3 linked regions of the Canis lupus familiaris genome follow. The protein of the gene in region 2 purifies or fractionates together with the protein of the main gene of each other region. This does not show direct contact. Links are inferred from orthologs where the notes say so. Each region holds a gene or a part of one and is shown on either strand. Other genes may lie near its edges.

Evidence for each region.
Region 1: the proteins of IRF2 (region 2) and IRF2BPL purify together in Homo sapiens (affinity purification with mass spectrometry; 3 studies listed by BioGRID and IntAct, counting the BioPlex papers as one, with this or other methods). This does not show direct contact. The link is inferred for Canis lupus familiaris from reciprocal best matches to the Homo sapiens genes IRF2 and IRF2BPL.
Region 3: the proteins of IRF2 (region 2) and IRF2BP1 purify together in Homo sapiens (affinity purification with mass spectrometry; 4 studies listed by BioGRID and IntAct, counting the BioPlex papers as one, with this or other methods). This does not show direct contact. The link is inferred for Canis lupus familiaris from reciprocal best matches to the Homo sapiens genes IRF2 and IRF2BP1.

Annotation. Positions count from the first base shown.
Region 1 is NC_049229.1:50,178,933-50,186,153, forward strand, and holds IRF2BPL (probable E3 ubiquitin-protein ligase IRF2BPL), read right to left. Parts: upstream 4,084-7,221; 5' UTR 3,745-4,083; coding exon 1,384-3,744; 3' UTR 531-1,383; downstream 1-530. UniProt on the Homo sapiens protein: Probable E3 ubiquitin protein ligase involved in the proteasome-mediated ubiquitin-dependent degradation of target proteins. Through the degradation of CTNNB1, functions downstream of FOXF2 to negatively regulate the Wnt signaling pathway.
Region 2 is NC_049237.1:46,980,349-46,987,727, reverse strand, and holds the start of IRF2 (interferon regulatory factor 2), read right to left. Parts: upstream 4,495-7,379; 5' UTR 4,402-4,494; coding exon 4,351-4,401; intron 3,841-4,350; exon of another isoform or gene 3,547-3,840; intron 1-3,546. UniProt on the Homo sapiens protein: Specifically binds to the upstream regulatory region of type I IFN and IFN-inducible MHC class I genes (the interferon consensus sequence (ICS)) and represses those genes. Also acts as an activator for several genes including H4 and IL7.
Region 3 is NC_049222.1:110,447,966-110,455,047, reverse strand, and holds IRF2BP1 (interferon regulatory factor 2-binding protein 1), read right to left. Parts: upstream 4,718-7,082; 5' UTR 4,023-4,717; coding exon 2,268-4,022; 3' UTR 1,861-2,267; downstream 1-1,860. UniProt on the Homo sapiens protein: Acts as a transcriptional corepressor in a IRF2-dependent manner; this repression is not mediated by histone deacetylase activities. May act as an E3 ligase towards JDP2, enhancing its polyubiquitination. Represses ATF2-dependent transcriptional activation.

The sequences.
Region 1 (7,221 bases), on a different chromosome or scaffold from region 2:
CAACTCTCCTGGCTCACTACATGCCTGTTTCCCTGTTGCCCACACCCCTCCTGCCTCCACTGACAGCTCCCAGCTCTGTGGCGTTTTTGCTTTATAATGTGCAGTAAGTGTGATTCCTGCCACATCTAAGAGGCAAAGCATCCTAGTTTCTTGTGTTTTTGTTGTTGTTGTTGTTGTTGTTTTTCCCACTTGCACAAGGCACAGCTGCACTGGAGATCGGCACATACCCGAGGCCACAGGGCGAGTTTCTGACAATGCCATTTGCAGCTGGGGCGCTCAGGGAAAATAGAGATGCAGAAGAGTAAACAGAAATTGCTTAGTCAGCAACTGTCCTGCCCCAAGAGGTGAATGTAAATAGTCTGGTGGGGGGGAGGGGCAGTCCGCCAGCACAGGGCCTTCTACAGATGCCACCTCCCAGGCTTTGCAAAGACACCAGCATTTGTGCTCTACGTTGGCAGGGAGGGTGTCCCCTATGTTGGAACTACTACGTGGCCTTAGCTCTAGAAAAACACACTTGCTGACTCGGGGCAGAATTAATATCAATTGAATTTATTACAAGTTACTAAGCTCCAAGGCACATTACAGTGTTCTGTTAACTACAGAAATGTATAAAGGACAAACAGAGCAGATTCCCCATGTCTAGCATTTCGCTCTACTGTTCAAAAGCATCCGTGCATCAATAAAGCAAAAACAAAACAACACGTGAAGATCCAACACATTCAGGTCCGTAGAAACAAACCAAAACATTTTCCCTCACAAACTTGCAACAAAAAACACCCCGCCCCCCCAACAACCCCCCCCTTACCATTTTGCAAACAAAACAGAAAAACAAAACAGAACAGAACAAAATGGAACAAAATAAAGTGAAGACTTCAACACTTGGGGCTGTTTAGAAAGAAGCTTTCACCATTTTATAGCATCTTTTTTTTTTTTTTTTTTTTAGGCAGCAACACTGGCCTTGGCAAAAAAAAAAAAAGTCATTTTCTTTTGTTTTTTTTTTTTTTCCTTTCAGAGAGTGCATAACATTTACAAAAATACACACCAGCAGCAGTCGTTGCTAAGGGCTATTAATTCTGTACCTAGGCAAACACTCTGCCACCAAATAAATGCTAACGAAATGATGCAAATGACCCAACCAATATTATACTGCTTAACACAAACCAGCTTATCCTTCAAATGAAGAAGTTACATACCTTTTGTTTCAAAATATAGAAACATACGACGAAAATAATGTCTATACATAAGACTAACTTTTTGCAGTTTGTTATATTCACAATTCTACATCTTAGGGGCAAGGGGAGGGAGGGTCGCTGTGGGTGGGGGAGGGGCCCTCTGGATCGGAGAGGAGCTGGTCAGGGGCAGAGGAGGTGGCCGTCTTGTGGTTCAAGGGTCTCTCTCCTTTTTCACTTTAACATCTCCAGCTAAGATCGTCGCGATTTCGCCCTGCATGAAGGCCCAAGGTACATTCGACCCAACCAGGGGGCATTTCTCTCCGCTGGGGCAGTACACCTCGCCGGTGGCCCCCTGGGCCTTGATACTCTCTCTAGAGCAAGGGAAGCAGAATTTGTGGCTGGGGACGGATGGGCACTGAACGAAATGCGTGTCCTCCAAACGTTCGTGGCAAATGGTACAGCAGAGGGGCCCGCTGTTGGCCATAGGGGAATCCGGAATGTTTTGGGGGTGCACTTGGTCCATGCCCGGGTGGGTGCTAGGCGGCGGGGGCGCCACCTGTAAATTCAGGTCCCCGTTCCGTGATGCCAAGCGGCGCTGCCCGGGCACGGAGGCCGGTGACACCGGGCTGCTGCTGTTGCGCCTGGCGGACGCAGTGGTGGAGTGCACGGAGCTGCCGTCCTTCGGCGAGTGCGCCGTGCCCAGAGTGTCTGCCACCGACATGAGGGCGGCCATGGGGGACGGGCCGTTCTGAGGGGCTGACTCGGGCGGGGTGGTCCGGTTGGAATGGGGTCCCAGGGGCGGGGGCGGGGGGGGCGGACCCCCGGCGGCGTGCCCCGGCGCCGCGAAGCCGCCGGCCGACATGGTGAGCTTCAGTGCCTCGCTCTGGTTCGCCATCCACTGCTGCCTCTGCTGCTCCTCGCCCAGTTTTAGGGCGCCCTCGGCGGAGTCCGGGGGCTCGGGGGACGCCTTCCTCTTGCGGAGACTGGCGGCGGTGCCCCGGCCCGAAGGGGCGGCGGGCGGCAGGGCCCCGGTGCCCGGGGGCGCGCTGGGGGCGCGGCTCAGACTCACCAGGGCCGTGGGCAGCATGGGGCAGCTGGCGTCCAGGTAGGGCTGGGGCAGCATGTCGGCGCCGGGCACGCCCTCCTTGAAGAAGCGCACGGCCTCGGGCAGCAGGTCTCCCAGGAGGCGCCAGTCCCCGGAGCCGTGCTTCTTCTCGTACTCCAGGTACTTGAAGCCGGAGGAGAGACCCCGGCCGAAGTCCTTCATACAGTCCTGGTACATCTGCTTGGCCACACCGGACGCGCTGGAGTACACGTTGCCGGAGCCCGTGGGGTACTCGATGAACAGCTTCAGCTCGTAGTCCATGCCGGGCTTGGAGACGGCGTCGAAGGCGAAGACGCGGCCCAGCAGCGAGTGGTCCTTCTTGAAACGCACCTCGTAGGGCGTGCAGCCAGCCAGCGTGAGCAGCGTGTCGCGGACCATCTTGGGCTTGTTGGCCCACTCCTCCGCGCGGTTGCGCAGGCTCTCGCTCAGCTCGGCCAGGGCCTCGGCGTTGCGCTGCTTCTCCTTCAGCTCGCGCTCCTGGTCGGTGCTCGACACCGAGCCGGGCCTTTTGCCGCCAGCACCCACCCCCACCTCCGCCACCGACGACGAGGTCGAAGACGACGCCGAGGACGACGCGGCCGAGACGCCCGGGGCGCCCCCAAGACAAGCGGGGCCCCCGGGTGCCCCTGGGGGCGCGGGCGTCGGGGGCCCACGGCTGCCGAGGCCGTGGGGCGGCGGCGGGGGCAGCACCGCGGCGCTGGCCGGGCCGTTAAGTAGCGTCTGCGGCAGCAGGTTGGGGGGCACCGCGAGCTGGGGGCCTCCACCACCCCCCGGGTTGGGCAGCCCCGTCACTAGCCCACCGTGCGTCCCGCGCCGAGACGCCACCGACGCCGCGGCAGAAGAGGAGTTGGGGCTCTGGCGGTTCAGCTCCGGGGGTCCCTCCTCCGGTGTCGGCTTGGGGAAGCCGTTGGGGCCCCCCAGCCCGTTGGGCAGCCGCGCGGCGTGGCTGCTGCTCCCCAGGCTCACCGGCGGCGGCGGGTACTCGAAGCGGCTGCGCTGCTCCACGGCGGCGGCGGCGGCGGCGGCGGCGGCGGCGGCGGCAGCGCTCAGGCCGTAGCGCTCCAGGCCGGACGGGGCCGCCAGCACCGCAGGCTTGCTGGAACCGTCGACGTGGTTGAGCTGCTGCTGCTGCTGCTGCTGCTGTTGCTGCTGCTGCTGCTGCTGCTGCTGCGCGGCCGCCGCCGCCGCCGCCGCCGCGGCCGCCGCCTCCTTAGCCGACAGGGCCACCGTCTTGACCCCGACGGGCGGCGGCGGCCCGGGGGAGCGGCCGTCCTGAAAGCAGCCGTGCGCCCGCTTCAGCTGGCGCGCCGTCTCGATCACGAACTCGATGCGATCGGCGCCCTCGTAGTTGACGCAACCGCGGCATACGGGTTCCGAGAAGTCCCAGATCATGGCCCAGGGCATGCGGGGCAGGTCGCACAGGTAGCAAGACTGTCTCCGGGACGAGGACACCTGCGCCGCCGACATGATGCCCGCCCTGGGGAAGGTAGGCCCCCGCCCAGGCTGTCTCCGCGGCGCCTTCTCCTCCGGGAGGACTGGCCGGCTGGGGAGGGAGTCCGGCTGCGGGGGAGGAAGGGGGGGCGAGAAAGTTCTGCCCCAGGGGCTGGAGGGAGCGCGAGTCTCCACCGCCGGCGCAGCGCCTCTCCGTGGGGGCTCCACCGCCGGGGCGGCGGACGAGTGCTGCCCGCTCGTCGCCCCCACCTCCTACTGCGGCTGTGTCGTCGGGAGGGGAGCTCGGGCGCCTTCTTCCTGGTGCCGCGGACCCGGGCTGCGAGCTCCGGGCCCGAGGGGAGGGGGCGAGGGTGCCGGGTGCTGGCCGCCGTGGGCTCTTGGCCCCCTCCCCGGAGTGGCTGGTGCCTGGAAGCTCGAAAGGGGTGGTCTCTTCCTCTCCCTGGGGGCCCCCCTACGAGCTGCGTCCTCTCCCCGCCAGGCTCACTGGGGCGAAGGCTAGAGGGCTCAGTGCCACCCGGTGCCCGGGTCCAATCTTGCTGAAGTCGCCGGGGGAGGGAGGGGGTGGCCGCCGAGAGGAGCTTCTCCCCTCCGCAGCGTCGGCCGTTCCGCTGGCGGCGGCTGGGTTTGCACGGCCGGAGGGAGCCGCCGCGGCCACCGCTTCCAGGACGCACGAGAGCAGAGGAGAGGAGCGCACGCACGCAGGCTCCCGCCGCCCCCAGGCCCGGCCGGCGCCCCGGCCGCCGCGGCTGGCGGCGCTCACGTTGGCTGCAGGGCGCTCGCGCGGCGCCTCGGCCCGGGTCGCATCCCTTCCCGCTCGCACTCGCCCGGAATGTGGGGTTGTGATTGTTACTCTACGTTCCGGAGGCGCGTCTCGGCGCTCCCGCTCGCGCTGCGGCTCGCGCTGTCCCCGGCTTGGCCGCGCGGGATGCCGCCCGGGCGGAGCGCTGACGTCACCGCCATGCTCTGCACCACTTCTCCCCCCTCCCTCCCCTTTACACTTCCTCTGTCTGTGGAGCCACTTGTTGCTCGGGGAGGGCGCATGCGCGGCAGGGCGCCCAGATTCCTCCCCGGCGGCCCCGCCTCCGCGCCTCCGCCTTCCCCTCCCCCCTCCCCGTGTGTGTACAACAGCTGAGGCCCGGCGAGCTAATGCTGGACGTCCTGGGCTGGGGGTGGAAATTAAACAGACGATGACCTTTCCTTTCCCCGCCCGGCTTTCCCAAGTAAAAACGCATTTGAAAACCACAAGCGTCATTTCCGATCCCGCTCCCCACCCCACCCCGGGCAGTGCATTTAAATGTCCAGTTTCAGGATTTTCGTCGCGAATCTCATTCTCGTTTTATCTGTAATCAAATCATCCCCCCCCGCCCCGCCCCACCCCGTATGGATGTTACGTTCACTTGCTACCACCGATGCCAAAGCACCTGCAAAATTAGCTGTTTTCCATTTGCCCAGAAACTGCCTTTTCGATTTGTTTTTGTGCCTCTGGTCTAGGAACCTGAGTTTCAACGACAGAGCTAAATGAATTCAGGGTGAGCTACTCCTCCCCCCCCCAGTCGCATTCTAAAAATTTTGGCTGAAAGAAGCTACGAGCACCCGGAGGCCTTTAAGGAAAACAGTCTACTGGCTGCGCACAGCTGCAGTTGGGGCAGGGAGGGGGGAAGGTGCTGGAGAGGCCAAACAGGTGAGTGGTTTTTCCGGGTTTGATAAAAGAAGGTGGGGCAGCGTTTAATGATTTTGCTATCTCTTTGTAAAGCGCAGTGGCAGCTTTCAAAATTCTTTCTCACGTGCTGTGATTTCATTCCACAGTGCCCCAGAAGGCTGAGCAAGGCCATGATTTCTTTTCCATTAGGGGACCGCTGCTCGTCATTACTGCTTATTGGGGAACAGGCATGTTGGTCATAGCTGTAGTCACGGCAGTTCAACCATTTCTTCTATGTACTGGGTCTGCCTCCCCCACCCCTCTGAAAATTGAAATAATTCTGGTCAAGGCTGGAGAGAGGAAGCAATATACCGGCATTTCAGGTTGTAGAGTTTGCGGGATCAGGTTGGAATTTCCTATCACTCTCTGGCTCTGTGACCTTGATCTGATTACTTTCTTTTACCTTCTCTCCGTTTTCCACCCATACACATGGGATCATAGCTCCCAACTTATTAGAATTGTTTGAGATTTCATTTTGCTTCTTGTCATAATTAGGAGGTAACTCACTGAGGTTACTGCGAACCAGACACTGCTAGGTGATTTTCTTGCCTCATCATTAAACTCTCAATAGTATCCACAAGGTAGATTCTATCATGAACTCTGTTTTACAGGCTCACAAAAGAGGTTAAATAACTTGCCCAGGGTCACATGGCCATTAGAGATGGAGCTGAGATCGGAATCCAGTAAAATCAGAGAGGTAGCTGTGACAAGCTACCTTGGGTTCTCAGGTTCCCAGAGGTGGTTTGCAGTGCTCCAAATTTCCATCAGTCCCCCCATTCTTCGTTACATTCTCATGTAAAGTGCTATGCAAATACACCTTCGAACCAACCTCCATCCTTCCCTCTCCAAACAGGCTGTGCCAGTGAGTTCTTTTACATGTACAGAAGTTTCGGATCTTCCGTTGCCGCAGACTCCAATACAGCTTGCGCTGTGTAGAGCACCGTGTCAGGCCCACGGGAAGCCGTCCGTAAGTGTTGGTTATTATTAGTATTGGTATTAATGCTGGTACTGTTGCTAGTGAACATGTGAAAGTACTTTGTAAATCGCATAAAAGGTGAGGATCATTATTCTCATGACTACTATTCACTCTTACTTGTAATAAAGTTCAGTTGAAGAAACAAGAAGTACTTCTTTTTATTTTGACACTTGACCTCCAGAGCCTGCTCTCGGCTCTAGCACTCCTCAGCACATGGTTCTCCCACTCATTCTGGGGTCATAGGTGCAGAGGAAGGGGAGTTATCAGGATAGGGAGAAAGAGGGAAGGAAGAGCCCTAGGGAGCCCCTCTTTCATCTCAGAGCAGCCAGATTTCTGTTATTGCAAAAAAAAAAGTGAGCTCACTGTGCACCCCCCAACAAAAATAAACTTCCCCTGGCCCACTGGTTCCCAGTAGTGATTGCTCTGTCAAGAGCTGCTCCAGAGCATTGCCTCACCCTTCCAAACTTCAGCCCTCCCCACACCACAGCTACCCTGGGGTGAGTCAAAACACAGCGCTTTGGAAATGGAGTGACATCCCCACCAGCCCATGGCTCCAGGCTCATTAGCTTTGGCTAGGCTGCTTCACCCATTTCTTTACATTAATATTTACTCAGCCCATCCCTTTATTAAACCAGAAATACTGAGGAACAGCAACCTAGCCCCAACCCTCTAGCCAGGCTGCTAGAGAAAGCAAGTTGGAGACTATGTCACAGTGTTATGTTTGGTATGCGCGCACATATGTCTCCGTCTCCCTGTCTGTCTCTGTCTTCACTGTTACTAAAGGAGAGATATATATACACATACATGCCGGGTGTCT
Region 2 (7,379 bases):
ATAGGAACAAATTAAATTGGAAGCTCGTCTTTCCCTCGATCACACTGGGTGTGTGAGAATAGCAACAGATTGCTAAGTTTGCCTGAAAAGAAATTATTTATGAAAATTACACAGCAAGTACTTAACTCCCCAAAATATTGGTTTAATGAAAATTAGACAGAACTTTATCACACAAAATCCTAAATTATTTTGCTGAACTACATTGGCCTTGCCCTGGAGATACACATGCTCAGAATCCTTCATCAGAAGGAATCGCACAAGCCTTGTTTCTCATAAAAATAGGGACAATGAGGCATGCACATAGAGTGTGAGGCATAGGAGACATTCTTGCTAGACTCCAGTTTTCTCTTGTTTATTGAAGATGAATACTACACTGATAGAGGGGACTAGGAGCTGAAATAGAAACAAACCCATAACTCTTTATGGCCTTCCTAGACCAAGAGACATACACATAAAACAAAGTCCTTCATGCCTCTTCAGAATGGAAAATCCAAAGCAGCACAATCATAACACTAATACCAGTTTTGTATGACAAGCAAGGTCAACACGAGCAGAGCCAACTGAGAGTGACCGCGGATTCCCTATCCAAAGCCCCATCTAAAATGTGGAAAACTGGTCTGCATAGCATGGCCTCTGGGACAACGGAAAAATAAAAGATCTGGCCCTGAGAAGAGATCCTTGATTCAGTGGTTCTCCACCTTTGCTCTGGCCCACATATCTGGGGAATGGGGACCTGGGATGCCTGGTGGGGATCCGGGATGCCTGGTGGGGATCAGAGCCTTGCTATGGGGGTGGGGGTGGCGGTTCTTTGCGTGAAAGAGTCAAAGACTCGAGAGAAAGGTTGTAGACAGTGTTAAATCTAAAAGTTCCTTATGGCTTCTCAAAGCCACCCCGCCCCCGCTGGGGTGATTTGATACCCACATAAGCCCCATACGCCATACATAACAGAACGATGCAGCCCCATTTTACAGATGTGAAAAGCAAGGTACCAAAAGGAGAAGTGATTGGGAGAGTAAATGAAAGGGCTGAAAGTCAACTCCAGGCCTCTGGACACTTGAGTTCATGCCCCTTGAACATAGCTGGTTGTCAACAAGTATTTAATAAATTAATGATGTAAAGGTACAGTGTTTGTGTTCATTCAATAACATAACCGCCTGGGTAACTACAATGGTTCATATCCTGGGATTCTTGGCTCCCAAAGTTAACTGTGGCCATCAGGAGTCCTGGGCTAGTTTCCAACTCAGAAAGCCTAAGGAGACTATGAGTTTATCCAAAATGGGCTGCTCAGAGTCCAAAACGTCAAGTGTCTCTACTTTGGGCTGGAATGAGATCAACCAGACCTGAGGATGCTATTTCTCCCAGGTCAATCAGGAGTTCTGACTAGAAGTCTGATGCAATTCTAATAATAAAAACAGGCATCGAAGTCTTCCTAATAAGCACAATATGTTTCAGGGACAGTCTTTCAAAAGATGAAGCTTGTGTTTGTGTGTGTGTGTGTGTGTGTGTGAGGGGGGATTATTTAAAAAGGATGCTTGAAGGTAAAATGCTGGCAACTAGGGGCCTGCTGCAGGCAGCCCAAGCTATGGCTTGGCATCAGGTGCCCGAGGGCTGAATTTGCTGCTTGTATATTTCCCTTGGTATATACAAAATATTGGCTTCACATTTAAATCTGGAACCTACATATAATTTATCAATCTTTGTTGGAAAAAAAAAAAATCAAGATTCATTCAACCTTCCTCACTTCCTTTCCTGCCAGGCACCTCCTTAAGAAACACCCTTTAACCCTGCCTGGGGCAAACATTATGCACCGGACATTGATCACACTCGGGACAAAAGCAGGGCACATCTAGGGCAAAAGGGCAGAAAGCCCTGATCTCCTATCCCACCTGAGAAGAACCTGGTGTCCCATACAGACAAAAAGAACGGATTTTATTAACAAAACTGACACTTCACAGCAATTTACATTATTTGCCTATAGTACCTTACGTACTTTTAAATGTTGTATTTTATAAAAATACACTATTTTTTTCACATACACAGTGCTGCACACACAGCAGTCAATAAATGAAAGTGAACCGAGTCCCCTTAATGATGCTATAGCAAAATACTAACATCAGCTAGGAGCTTATCTGTAATAACGATAATGAATTACAGAGTCTGCAGCAATGGTAAGAAAATTCAGACTAAATGACATTGAGCCTGAGAAGATTTATTTATATAAATATACAGATATATAGATATATATATCCTTGCACACACACACACACACACACACACAGAAAGTATACTGGTATCACTGTTATTTCCATATCATTTGGTCTCCATGGATACCATCCAACTTCTGACAGAAAAAATTCACTGACAATATTATATTTCACTGTTAAATTCTTTGATGCTTTACATAAAATAGCTATTCTGTATTTAATTCCTTGCCGTTATCCATAATACTCTCAGAAGAAGTAAATCCCTTTTTGCTGAAAATTCTGTAAGAGAAAGTCAGTGATCAATCCATAGTCCTGATTTCCTGGCTTTTTCGCATTAATAATAGTGACAGATTTCTGAAAGTTAATGCCTTACACATTTGTAGACTGCTGTAACTTCTATAACCTTCTCCCATACACAGTCTCTCCTCTGTTCCCCAAAGCAACCCTATCAGATAGGCAGTTAAGTATTATTATCACCTTCCATAGAAGTAACCCCAGAAGGTAATCACTGTTATTTATCTTTCGGTTGCCTATTATCAGCTCACCGACCACAATACAATTTCCCCAGAGGGTAAGGAAGTTGTTTTCCTGTTCCGAGTAGAACCCACAGAGCCTAGCACTGTGTCTGGGTGCAGAGTGAATGTCCCAGGAATATTTATTAAATGAATAAATAAAGTCCTTCCTCTGCTTTACACCCTTTTTGGTATATAGCACAAAACAGAACCATGTCCCAGATACCCCATTTAGAGTTCTGCTCTCTATCAAAAGGAAATTGTGTGAAAATGTTCTAGAAACAACCAAGCTCGTATCTGATAATCCTAAGAATAAAAGTACAGTGTCCTTGCAAACCTGAAGCAATGGATGCACACCAAAAGTTAAGTATCCAGAGTCTCGAATCTTCCACTACTAGTTGTAAGCTTAACAGCCTTATTAACTGGCTTTGGTATATGGAATATCTGCCTAATAAAGTCTTTCAGAAGGCACAGGAAAGCCGGGCCATAGTTCATAGAGCTGTCAGTACTTAAGGACAACCATTACTTTGCCATAATTTGCTTCCAATTCAACTACAAACTCTCACTTTTGATGCCGGTGACATTTTTACAGGTAAGTCAAGTCTGAAATATGCAAAATTACCTTTTACTTTCCAAGATCAAAAGGAAAAAAAAAAAAAAAAAAGGACAACTCCCTGAGGACGAAGTATATAAATGTTTAATATTAGGAAGCGATTACAAGTCATCACAGAACTCCTGAATCTAAAGAAGCGAAAATCTTGCTTCTTACATAACAGGCCGAGTTATAAATTATAATCGTTCACTGATTGCAGCGAAATTCCGGACTTTACCGTCTATCGATCAACAGATGTTCCAAGGTTACCCCGTAGAAATGCCCGTTTCATTTCTCAATATTCCATGTCTGAAGTCTCCTTAGAAAAGTCGAGTTTTTCCAGGACGTTCTAGGTTCCTACTTCTACCGCTGCCCCCTCCAAAAAAGGAAGCACGGGGCGCTGGGGAAACTGCTGGATCCTGGATCTGCTGGGCGCCCCGAAGTGGGGCAGGGATGGGCCCCCGGGCGCCGGGAGGCGAGCGCGCATCCAAGACCACCCGCCCTCGGAACCACGTCGGCCAGCGGCCCCTCGCTGCACCTGCCCTGAGAGCACCAAGTGCAGGCTCCTAGCCCCCCCCCCCAGCCCCCCACGCCGTGTGCAATCGGTCTGAACCCTGATAAGTGACTGCAGGCTCGACAGCAGCCTCGGTGATTCCTGAAAATCCCCAACAGGAAATGTAACCATCCTCCACCCTCCCCAGCCATTCATCAAAAGCAGACCGAGCCACTGCAACAGGGGAGGCCGGGGGGTCGGGGGGCGCGCAGGAGGCGCAGGGGGCACAGGAGCGCCCGCACTTTTCCAGCTTTGGAGACACTCCGCGTCTTGGGATTCCGTGACCCTGCACGCGGAGCACTACCCACCGCCCGCACGGAGGGAGGAGGCGGAGGAGGGACGGGGCGGGCAAAATGTCCCCAAGTTGCAGAGACTGTCCTCCGGGGCTGCCGAGGAGTGCGCCCGGGCCTGCCCGTGCCAGGGGGCGCAGCTCCCGCCCCCGCCCCCGCCCCCGCTCCCGCTGCAACAGGGCAAGGGCGGCGAACGTACCGGGACCTGGGGCCGGGGCCGGCGCGTCCTGGCGGGGGGACCCGGTCGCATCCGCAGCCCCCCTCCTCCCCCGAACTTGCGGAGGCTCCGCGGGCCCCGCTCGGTGGCCGGGCCGGGCCGGCGGGGCGGGGAGGAAGTGGCGGCCGCGCACCAACCACGTTCGGCCGGCGGGCGAATGCCGCTCGGCGCCCAGAGCGGGGTCGGAGGGCGCGGGGCGGGCACTCGCGTCCCCACCCCGCCCCGCCCGCGCCGCGGACCCCCGGGGGACGCCCGCCCCCGCGCCTGCCAGCGGGGCGCCGCTCGCTCCCCGGAGGCTCCCCGCCCCCACCGCGCCCGCGCCGCGGCCGAGGCGGGTCGGGCCCAGCGCGCCAGGCCGGCCCGGGGGCGCCCGCGGGGACCCGGCGGCGCCGGGCGCTAGGCCGCGGCCGGGGCGGTGACCCCTCGGCGCGGCGCCCTCCCGGGACGCGCCGCCGGAGCCCCCCGCGCGCCGGGACCAGCGCGGCGACAAAGCCCCGGGGCCAGGCCGGGCGCCGGCCGGCGGGAAGGAGGGCGCGGCGTCCCCCCGCGGCGGCGGCGGCGGCGGCGGCCCAGCTCCCGGGCAGCCGGGCGCGCCGGCCAGGCCCCGCTGGCACCCGCCGCCCGCCGCCGCCGCCCAGCACCGTGCCCCGGGCCCGCCGCGGGGCGCCCCACCAAGTTTCCCCTCGCCGGGGCCCGGGGCGCGGGGCGCAGGCAGCGGGGCGCACGGCGGAGCCGCCCGGAGACCGCGAGCCCCGCTCCCCTCCTTCGGATCCCGCGGCGACGGCGTCTGTAAACACGCACACGCACACACACACACACACGCACGCACACGAGAATTTTGTTTTAAAAGGAGGCCCGACTCCGGCGGACCTGCGCCCACACACCCAACACCTGGGGCGCAGAATCACACAGAGCAGGTCTGTGTCCATGGAGCCACCTCTCCGCATCTGCAAATCCAAAAGTGAAATTAAACCTCCACCGACCTCCTCCTCCTCCTCCTCCTCCCTCTCTACCTCCTCCTCCTCCTCCTTGCAGCCTCAGCAGCCCCAGCAGCCTCAGCAGCCCCAGCAGCAGCAGCAGAACCTGCTTCCCCTAAACATCAGACGATCCATCAGAGCGCCGACTGCTCCTCCAAAAATCAGTATTAATATTTATGAACCCCCAGCATTTTCCGGCTGCGACTGTGTCAAACCATCAGCACGCGCGCGCAACACACGCACACGCACACACACACACACACACACACATCCCCTCCAGTGCTCAGCAAACATGCCCTCGAGAAAAACACACACGCACAGTCACAACTATTATTTGAAAAATGTTACCTCTCAGTGTGCTTTTTCACACTACCAATACAATCCCGCAAGGTTTAAGTGTTGCTAGGGTGTGTGAAATGGAAATGAAAGCCCGTCAGTTGAATAATCGCAGGAGCAAAACTAAAAGTTACTCCCCAGCTTGCCTGAGAACAGTCCAGATCGAAAGCAAAACAAGGAGAGGAAACTGCGAAGCGCAGAGGCTGGAAATCCCCCCACCCCCCGCCCTCCTCCCTGCCTGCCTCCCTCCCTCCCTCCCTCCCTCCCTCGCTGCTCGCTCCCTCCCTCGCCTCCCCCCTCCGCCCTCCCCCCTCCGCCCTCCTCCCTCCGCCCTTCCTCCCCAGTGTTTGTTTCGAGCTTGTGCAACCGGGAGGTGGAGGCGGAGGGAGGGCGCGAGCGGCCGGGCCGGGAGGTGCGGAAGTTCGCCGCGGCCGCTCATTGGCGCCCGGCGCCGCTTTCATCATTTCTCGGAAAAGTCCATTTCATTTTCGCTTCCCCACGTCGCGGCAGCGGGAGCAACAAGCGGCTGCTCGTGAGTCTGTCGTCGGCCGCCGGGACGCTCCCGCCGGCCGCGCTCAGCCTCGGGGCGCCGGGGGCGCAGGGGGCGCGGGGGCGCGGGGGCGCGGGGGGCGCCGGCCTCCTCTCAGCCCCGAAGCTGTAGCGGCCGCTGGGCGAGGAAGGCAGGTCCCCGAGCCTCCAGCCTCGGGGCTCCCTGAAGGTTGGAGAGGGAGGAGGAGCCGGCGGCGGAGGAGGAGGGGGGCAGGGAGCCCGGGGGAGCTGGCCGTCCACCGGCCGGCGGGGCAGGTGGCAGGGGCGGGCAGCACCGCTCTGGTCCGAGGGGACAAAACCCCACTTTGTCGCGGGCCCGCCCCAGAGGGAGAGAGGGCACGGGCGCCCCGGCCAGACAGCGTGACTTAGACACCAGCTGCAAGACTGGGCCAGCCGAGGCCCTGCGACCTTAACCGGGTTGGAACCCTCATCAGTAGTTGAGGGTGTCCCCCTTGGAGGGCTGCTGCCGGCCCCGGCCCCACCTGGCGCCGCGTGGGTGGAGGGGGGACAGCGGGGGATGAGGAAGGCCTTGCCCACGCCTGCCAGGGCCGCCCCCTCCAGGCCCATGACCGCCGCCGGGGCAACAGGAGTGACTCCTCCCCGCGGGATGAGACGCGCAAGGCTGCGAGTTAATTTTGCCTCCCGACGTCTTCATCGTGGCCGGTCCAGGAGAGAGGCTTCTTCATCCTGGGACCCGGGCAGCCAGATTCCGATATGGCCTCTAACTGATTAGCTGGGCATGCCCCGGCAAGTGGCATGGCCTGAGGCCTCCGTTTTTAATGTGGTGGAATGGGGACAAATGATAGAACGCGGGTGGCCAGGTACAGCGCCTGTCGCCCTCCAGGTGTGTTAGCTCACACTGATGTAATTCATTTGGGACCTACCACCGCGGGGTCCTTTGCCAGGTAACGGTACCGGTTCTCCTCTAACTATACCTGTTTCTTCCCCCCACATGCAGCAAAATCAGCCTCCTCCCAAAGTTCTCTATCCAACCAAGAGAGGCCCTTCTCCGGAGGCCAACTATTTACACGTGAACACGTCTCTAAGAGCATAGCCCAGCATCCCTCTTTGCCACAGAAGTATTGAATTCTGTGCATTGGAAGAAGAAAAGTATCTGAGTGCGTATGTGCTGAGACAGCTGAGCGTTTA
Region 3 (7,082 bases), on a different chromosome or scaffold from region 2:
CTCTGAACCTCTCTGGGGATTTCTCTACTTAGCTTTTCTGAAAGTCTGTCTGCATCTCTGTGTCCACGGCATCTCCTCCATCTCGGAGGGTCTCTCAAGCTCTCTTGTCCCCCTCTGGGTCTCTGTCTTCTTCCAGTGAGCTGATCTCTATAGCTCCTACTCCACCTCTCCCTCTCCACCTTCACCATCATTCCCTGGGTCTCCCTGTCCATTTCTCCTTTTGGGAAGTCTCTTCATCTACTCACTGATCCCCCAATAAATCCAGAACCCCTCCACTCTGGCCCCACCCTGGCACAGGGGGGAAGGGGGGATGGATCCAGCCCCTCACACCCACACAGGTCAGACCGTCTGTTCTGTTAATGGTTAACTCAACCTCTATCTAGAATACACACCAGCCAGGCTGGGGGTGACTCCCCTGCCCACCCTCCCACACCAGCTGTTCTTAAAGGACCAGGTGTCCTCCCCAGCTCTTCAGCCCTCACCAGGGGGTCCTGGTGTTTGGAGGCCCTGAGAATGGGGGGAAACTGCCTAGTGCTGGGGTCTGCAGAGCTGGGGCAGGGGGATGCCACAAGATTGCTGGGGATGGGTGCCCAGGCCTGGAGCTCCAGCCAGCGTCTCCCTTGCCCCAGGCTTATCGCCTGGTATATTTAATCAGGGCTGGTTTTCCCAGCCCAGCCCAGGGCCCAGGCTGGCAGTACCAGGGGTGACAACACCTGAGGCCTGATGGCTGGGGGAGGGGATGGGAGCACCCCCTCCCTCCAGCCCAAGAACTGGGGGTTCAAAGTTAAGGGTCCTCCAGATGTTGAGGACAAAGTCTCCGGGTCCCTAATATTTGGGATTTGGGACATGTGGATCTGCCAGATATGTGTGGGACACGTGGGTAGCTAAGAGGATGAGTCAAGACTATAGGGTCTTCCAGACTTAGGTGGTGGGACACCTGTGTTCCTGAGATGTGGGGCAGTCTGGGGTCTCAGGGCTGTGTGCCAGTGCTGCGCGGTCACAGGACACACTATCATTCCCCCATCTTTCCGTCCATCTGCTGGCCTTGGCGCCCCGAATCGCCCCTTCCCGCAATCTCCACTTTGGGGTCGCAGAGGGAGACTGCAGGGGTGGGGGCTGGGCTCTTGGGGCGGCCCCCTCCCCTTAACCCGTGCTTTGCCGCAGGCTGCTCAGGCCCCGCCTCTTGACGCCAGAGAGCAGGAAGTCCTGGTTAATGATCAGCCCATCGGGACAGGTGCGGGACAAGGCCGCGCACATCAGAGGCGGCCGGCCGCAAGGGTTGTGCCTTTTACCCTGCCAGTCACGGTGTCCTAGGGTGGCCACTATTGAGACTGGTCTCCCAAGATGGGCGCGAGGAGCACAGTTCAGGGCACCACCAGAGGCAGGAAGCAGTCCCCTTGTTTCCAGGAATCCTGTTAGGGTACCCCACAGAGGTAAATTTCCTCTCCTAGGTCAGTCCCCCTAAGCAATGTAGCCTAATTCTCTGCCTCTGAGCAAGAACTCACTATCCTTCCCTTCTAGGAAGCCTCCTGATGCCTCCTTCCCCTCTCCTGGAGGGCGCGGAGTACCCTCACGTCCTGGGCAGATACAGGGGCTGGCCTGGAAGGGAAACCTCCTTCCCTAGGTTGGCTCTGGTTCCCACGCAAGGAGCCTCCCGTGCTCTGGGCCTCAGTTCTGCCATCTGGAAAATGGGCAGATGGCTAGCACGCTTGAGCTGTGGTCCGCCTTTCTAAAAACAGTCAACGGGCCCGCCTGAGTGAAGGGCGCCACCTGGAGGCTACAACGCAAAGTCCCTTCCCTGCAGGACCAGTTCGGTCCCAGAGAGGGCGCAGCATCTCACACAACTAAGGGACCAAGAAGGAAAAAAAAAAAAACCATCTTTCGGTTTATTGAAGGAGGAAAAGGGGGCGGGAGGGGGGGGCAATAAAATGCTTTTGCTTTGTTTATAAAGAGCGAGATTTCAGGAGGCCCCTTCTCAAGGAGGAGGGGGGCACCTCTCCCCCAACTACAAGCAGCAGCAAAGCCAAGCCAAGGAGGGGCGAGGGATACTGGAGGGGCCGTAGGACCCCAAACACCCCCTCGAACAGAAGCCACAAGCTTTCTCCCCCCACCCTCAATGCATCTACCCCAGGGGACCCATCTGGGATGAGGAAGGGGGTATGTACACAGGTGGGGGTAGCACTGGGCTGGGGGAGAGGGAATAATTTATCCGCAGAAGCGGTGGGTAGCAAGGGGGTGGGAGGCAGTAGACTGGTGACAGTGGTGGCCTAGGGGTCCCGTTCTTTCTTAACCTTGATGTCTCCAGCAAGGATAGTGGCGATCTCGCCCTGCATGAAGGCCCAGGGGACAGAGGAGCCCACCAGGGGGCACTTGTCTCCACTGGGGCAGTACACCTCCCCGGCAGGGCCCTGTGCCTTGATGAATTCCCGTGAGCAGGGAAAGCAGAACTTGTGTCCGGGCACTGAGGGGCACTGGACGAAGTGGGTGTCTTCCAGCCGCTCCCGGCACAGGGTACAGCACAGGGGGGCCCCAGGGGTCGCCCCGGTGCCGCTACCACCCCCGCTCACAGCTTCTGCCCCTGCCGTGGGGCTGACTTCTGCCTCACCATTGCGGGCCACTAGACGATGCTGGGCGGGAGGCTGGGCGGTGGAGGAGGCTGCGGGGCTGGCACCCCCAGCGCGTACAGGGCCCCCGCCCCCGCCAGGGTCCTTGGGGGAGTGGCCCAGGGCCTCCGCCACATTCTTCAGGGCGGCGATGGGTGAAGGCACACCGGGGGTGTCGGCGGAGTATGGGCCACCGGGCGCTACCCAGTGCCGCTGCTGCTGTTCCTCGGTGGTCATCTTGCCAGCCGCCTCACCCTCGGGCTCAGGGGATGCCTTGCGACGGCGTGGCGTGGGCGCCAGGTTCCGGGATGGGGCTCGCGGGGGTGGGCCACAGAGGGCTGCAGGGGCTGGCTCCGGGTACTGCTGCGGCAGGGCCTCGGCAGGAGCGGGCTCTCGGAAGCTGCGGACCCCGTCGGTGAGCAGCTCCCCCAGCTGGCGCCATTCCCCTGAGCCGTGCCTCCGTTCATATTCGAGGTACTTGAAGCCTGATGAGGCCAGAGCCTTGCCCGGCTCCCGCAGAGCATCATGAAACATCTGGCGAGCCACGGCCAGGACTCCTGCGTACACGTTGCCAGAACCACAGGGGTATTCGGTAAAAAGCTTCAGCTCGAACTCGTAGCCCGGCGGGCGGGCGGTAGCGTCAAAAGCGAACACCCGCCCCACCAACCCGTGATCCTTCTTGAAGCGAACGTTGAAGGGGGCGCAGGCAGACAGGGCCAGCAGCTGTTCCCGCACAGCTTTGGGGCGCCCGTGCCACTCCTCTGCCCGGCCACGCATGGCCTCGTTCAGTTCTGCCAGACAGTCCGCATTCCTCTGCTGCTTCTCCTTCTCGAAATCGGAGCCAAAAGCTGGACGGGCAGGACTCAAGCCGGGTGCCAGCGTCAGCCCTCGGCTTCCCAGGCCAGACACTGCAGCTGCCAGCAGCCCGGGGGGCACCAAGCTGGGCATGGAGCCAAGCAGGGCCCTTCGCGCCCCCTCCGCCACGGCCTCCTCCCGGCCCAGCCCATTAGCCAAGCGGGACCCCAGGGTGTACTCCAGGGCGGGCGAAGGCAGGGGGAGGCGGCCGGACGATGTGGCCCTGTCATAGCGGTCCTGGCCCGAGATGCCGCCGCCTGTCCCTGACGGCTGGGGCTGGGCCTGCGGAGGCGGTAGCTGAGGCCCCTGTGCGGCGGCCGCAGCCAGGTCCTTAGTGGTCGGGTGCTTGAGGGCTGGGGGCCCGGGGGAGCGGCCCTCGGGGAGCACGTGGCTGCGCTTGAGTTGGCGGGCAGCGTCGATGAGCAGCTCGATGCGATCCGCGCCCTCGAAGTTCACGCACCCGCGGCACACAGCCTCGCTGAAGTCCCACACCATGGCCCACGGCATCTTGGGCAGGTCGCACAGGTAGCACCACTGGCGGCGGGACGCCTGCACCGACGCCATGACCCCCGCGCGCGCGCGCCGCTGAGCCCCGGCGTTCCACCCGCCGCCGACGTTCGATCCGCGCCGCCCGACGTTCGATTCGCGTCCCGGGGACCGCGCGAGCCACAGTCAGGCCTCTCCGGCTCGGCCTCCCCGCGGATCCAGGCCCGGCCCCCCTTCTCCGCCCCCTGGGCCCTAAGCCTTTTTCCTCACTCCCGCCTCCTTGAAAAGCCTGTAGGAGGCACGTCGGCGCCTCCGCCCGCTCCGGGCTCCCGGCCGAGGCGCACAGCTCCGGCCCCGCGATGGGCCGCGGGCGCCGCCGCCTCGGGGTCCCGCCGCTCCCGCCGCCGCCGCCGCTGCAACGGCCGCCGCCGCCTCCACCTCCTTCTGCCCCAGAGGCCGCTTCGCAGGGAAAGTTACATAACGCGCCGGCAAAGCCTTCTGGGAAACGTAGTCCCGCCGGGGCCGATTCTTAAAGGGGACGGCTGGCGCCGGAGGAGCGGGCTCGCCGTCTCTCAGCCGCGCAAATCCTACCGCTCGACGCTGCCCGGCGGTGAGCTCGGCGTGCTCAGAGGAGCTGGGGCACTGGGGCTTGGGAGCGGAGATGATATCTGAATGGTCAGAGCTACCCCGGATTCAGACATGGTAGGAAGTGGACAAGCTTTCGGGCGTCTAGAGTCGGATCGGACTTGCTGTGCACCTTCAGGCAAAAGTCTTGCTCTCTCTGAAGCCCGATTCCCCGCCCATCAAAGGTGGGCCAATGACTGGTTAGGGAGGCAGCAGCTTCTGGGGCGGGGCGGAGGGGCTCTGATTGGATGGTTGCAGGGTAGGGGGGACGGGAAAGCTGGCAACTCGGGGAGGGAGGGTTCTGCTTTGGCACCTCGTTTTCCTGCTGTCTTGTGTAGCATTCTCTGAATTGGGCCGGGAACAGCCGGAGCGAGGGGAAGAACGGAGGCCTCTGGGCCAGGACTTGGCCTCAGTCGTCTCATCTATTAAAGAGAGTGGTGGAGCGCCCTCGAACTCCGTTCCGGCTCGGCCGCGCGCTCCGGTCTACAAAGGGTTACGCGGTGTTTCTCCCTCCCGCCTCCCCGCCACCGCTTCACTACAATTCCCAAAATGCTCTGCCGGGAGGATAAACTGACGCACTTCCGCTGTCTGGGAGGTGGAGAGGAGGCCTTCCCCATTCCCGCTGTCTCCCACCCCCGGCTCAATTTCTGGGCGCTTTACTTTTTGGGGGAGCACCAGGTTGAGGGAATCCTCATCCTCTACGGCTCGGTAATTTGGTGGAAGAGAAAGAGGCCAGAGATGGCGAGCAAGAGTTGTGGGGGGTGATTTTTCTACAACCTTGAGTGCTTACTACCTGATCGGACCAACCAGGTTTTGGGGACACCCCGCATCATCCCCCGGACTAGCATCGGGAACGGTGCGAGTCAGGCAGGAAGAGTTAGGGAGGGGAGGAGAGAAGTCTCCAGATTCTAACACCCATCACCCTCTTGCTCTCTGTAAGCTGGGATAAGCGCTCAAAAAATATCTGAATGGCTTGTCAGAGTTGCATTCATTAGTAGTTCTCAAACTAATTGGATTGTCTGCTTCCTCTCCCACATCCTGCTGCTATCCTAGCAGCTCTGATTTTGCTAGCCAATCAGTGTCAGCTTCACAATTTCACTTACCACCTGGATTATTTTCTGGAAATTGACTCCCCTGAGGTGGGGTGTGTGTGTGTGTGTGTGTGTGTGTGTGTGTGTGTAAAGGCGTTAAAAAGGATTACTTTTGCCTCATCCTAAGAAATACAAGCATACCTCGGAAATATTGTAGGCTCCTTCCAGACCACCACAATACAGCAAATCTAGCAACAAAGCAAATCAGATGAACTTCTCGGTTTTTCCAGCGCGTCTAAAAGTGAAGGTTACGCTATGCGCGTGCGCTAGTATGACGTCCAAAGAAACAACATATATACCTTAATTTTAAAATATTTTATTGCTAAAAGATGCTAACCGTCATCTGAGCTCTGAGTTTTAGTCACTGATCACAGAGCACCATACCAAATGTAGTAATAATGCCAAAGTTGGAAATATGGCAAGAATTACCAAATGTAACACAGACACAAGTGAGCGACTGTTGGAAAAATGGCACCAATTGACTTGCTTGACACAGGGTTGCCACAAACCTTCAACTAGTAAAAAATAAAAAAAGCAGTATCTGCAAAGTGCAATAAAGCAAAGCACAATAAAGCGAGGTATGTCTGTATTATGTGCACAAGTGTAGGTTTTTTTAGGTACTAGCTGCAGTTTTGGGGTACTAGCTACATTTTAATCAAGTTAACACACCATATAGAATCATTAAAAAGGCTATCCACATATCTCCTAGAATTGCCTTTAAGCCATTCTTCAGGAAACACCAGTGGGGGGATCAAGAGTTCTGGCCAGAGTCCAGCTTCAGGTGGCTGAATTGGGATTGGCCGCTGGCAAGGTTAGGGAAAGTCCCTAAACTTCTCAGGAAAAAAACAGAGACCCCTGGAGAGTCTGCTTTTCATTGGGCAGGTTCAAGTTTAAAGGAAAACCAGTAAAAATGTTTAGCATGGTGCCTGGCCCAGGAAAGGAGCACCATACATGGCAACCCTGCTTTTTGAGCTGCCCATTAACTCAAAGATGCAACCCTCTTCTGTGTTGGGCAATGCTGAGGACACAGCACTGAGCTAGGTACAGGCCTTGCTTGCCCTGACAAGGCTCATCCTGGTGATGGAGGCAGACAAATCAATTTAAGTTTACTCAAATGATTATTTAACTGGATTTTCCCTGCCTAACTGATGGGGTGGGTAGAGATTGCCAGGAAAGCCTTTTCTGAGGAGGTGAATATTGGAGTCGAGACCTGAAGAATGACAATGGAATGCAGCTGTAGCCTCCTACGTTTTTGTGCCCATTTTACAGATGAGGAAAAAGAAGGCCCACACAGTTGGCCAGGGTGGCACCAGGGGCTGGGCCAGGTAGGACCGGATCCAGGGTGGTGGTTATTAGCTACTTTGCTACTCTGCTTTGCAGCAGGTTTAGGAGTAAAAAAGAGAACCAGTTCTTGCCTTCCTGA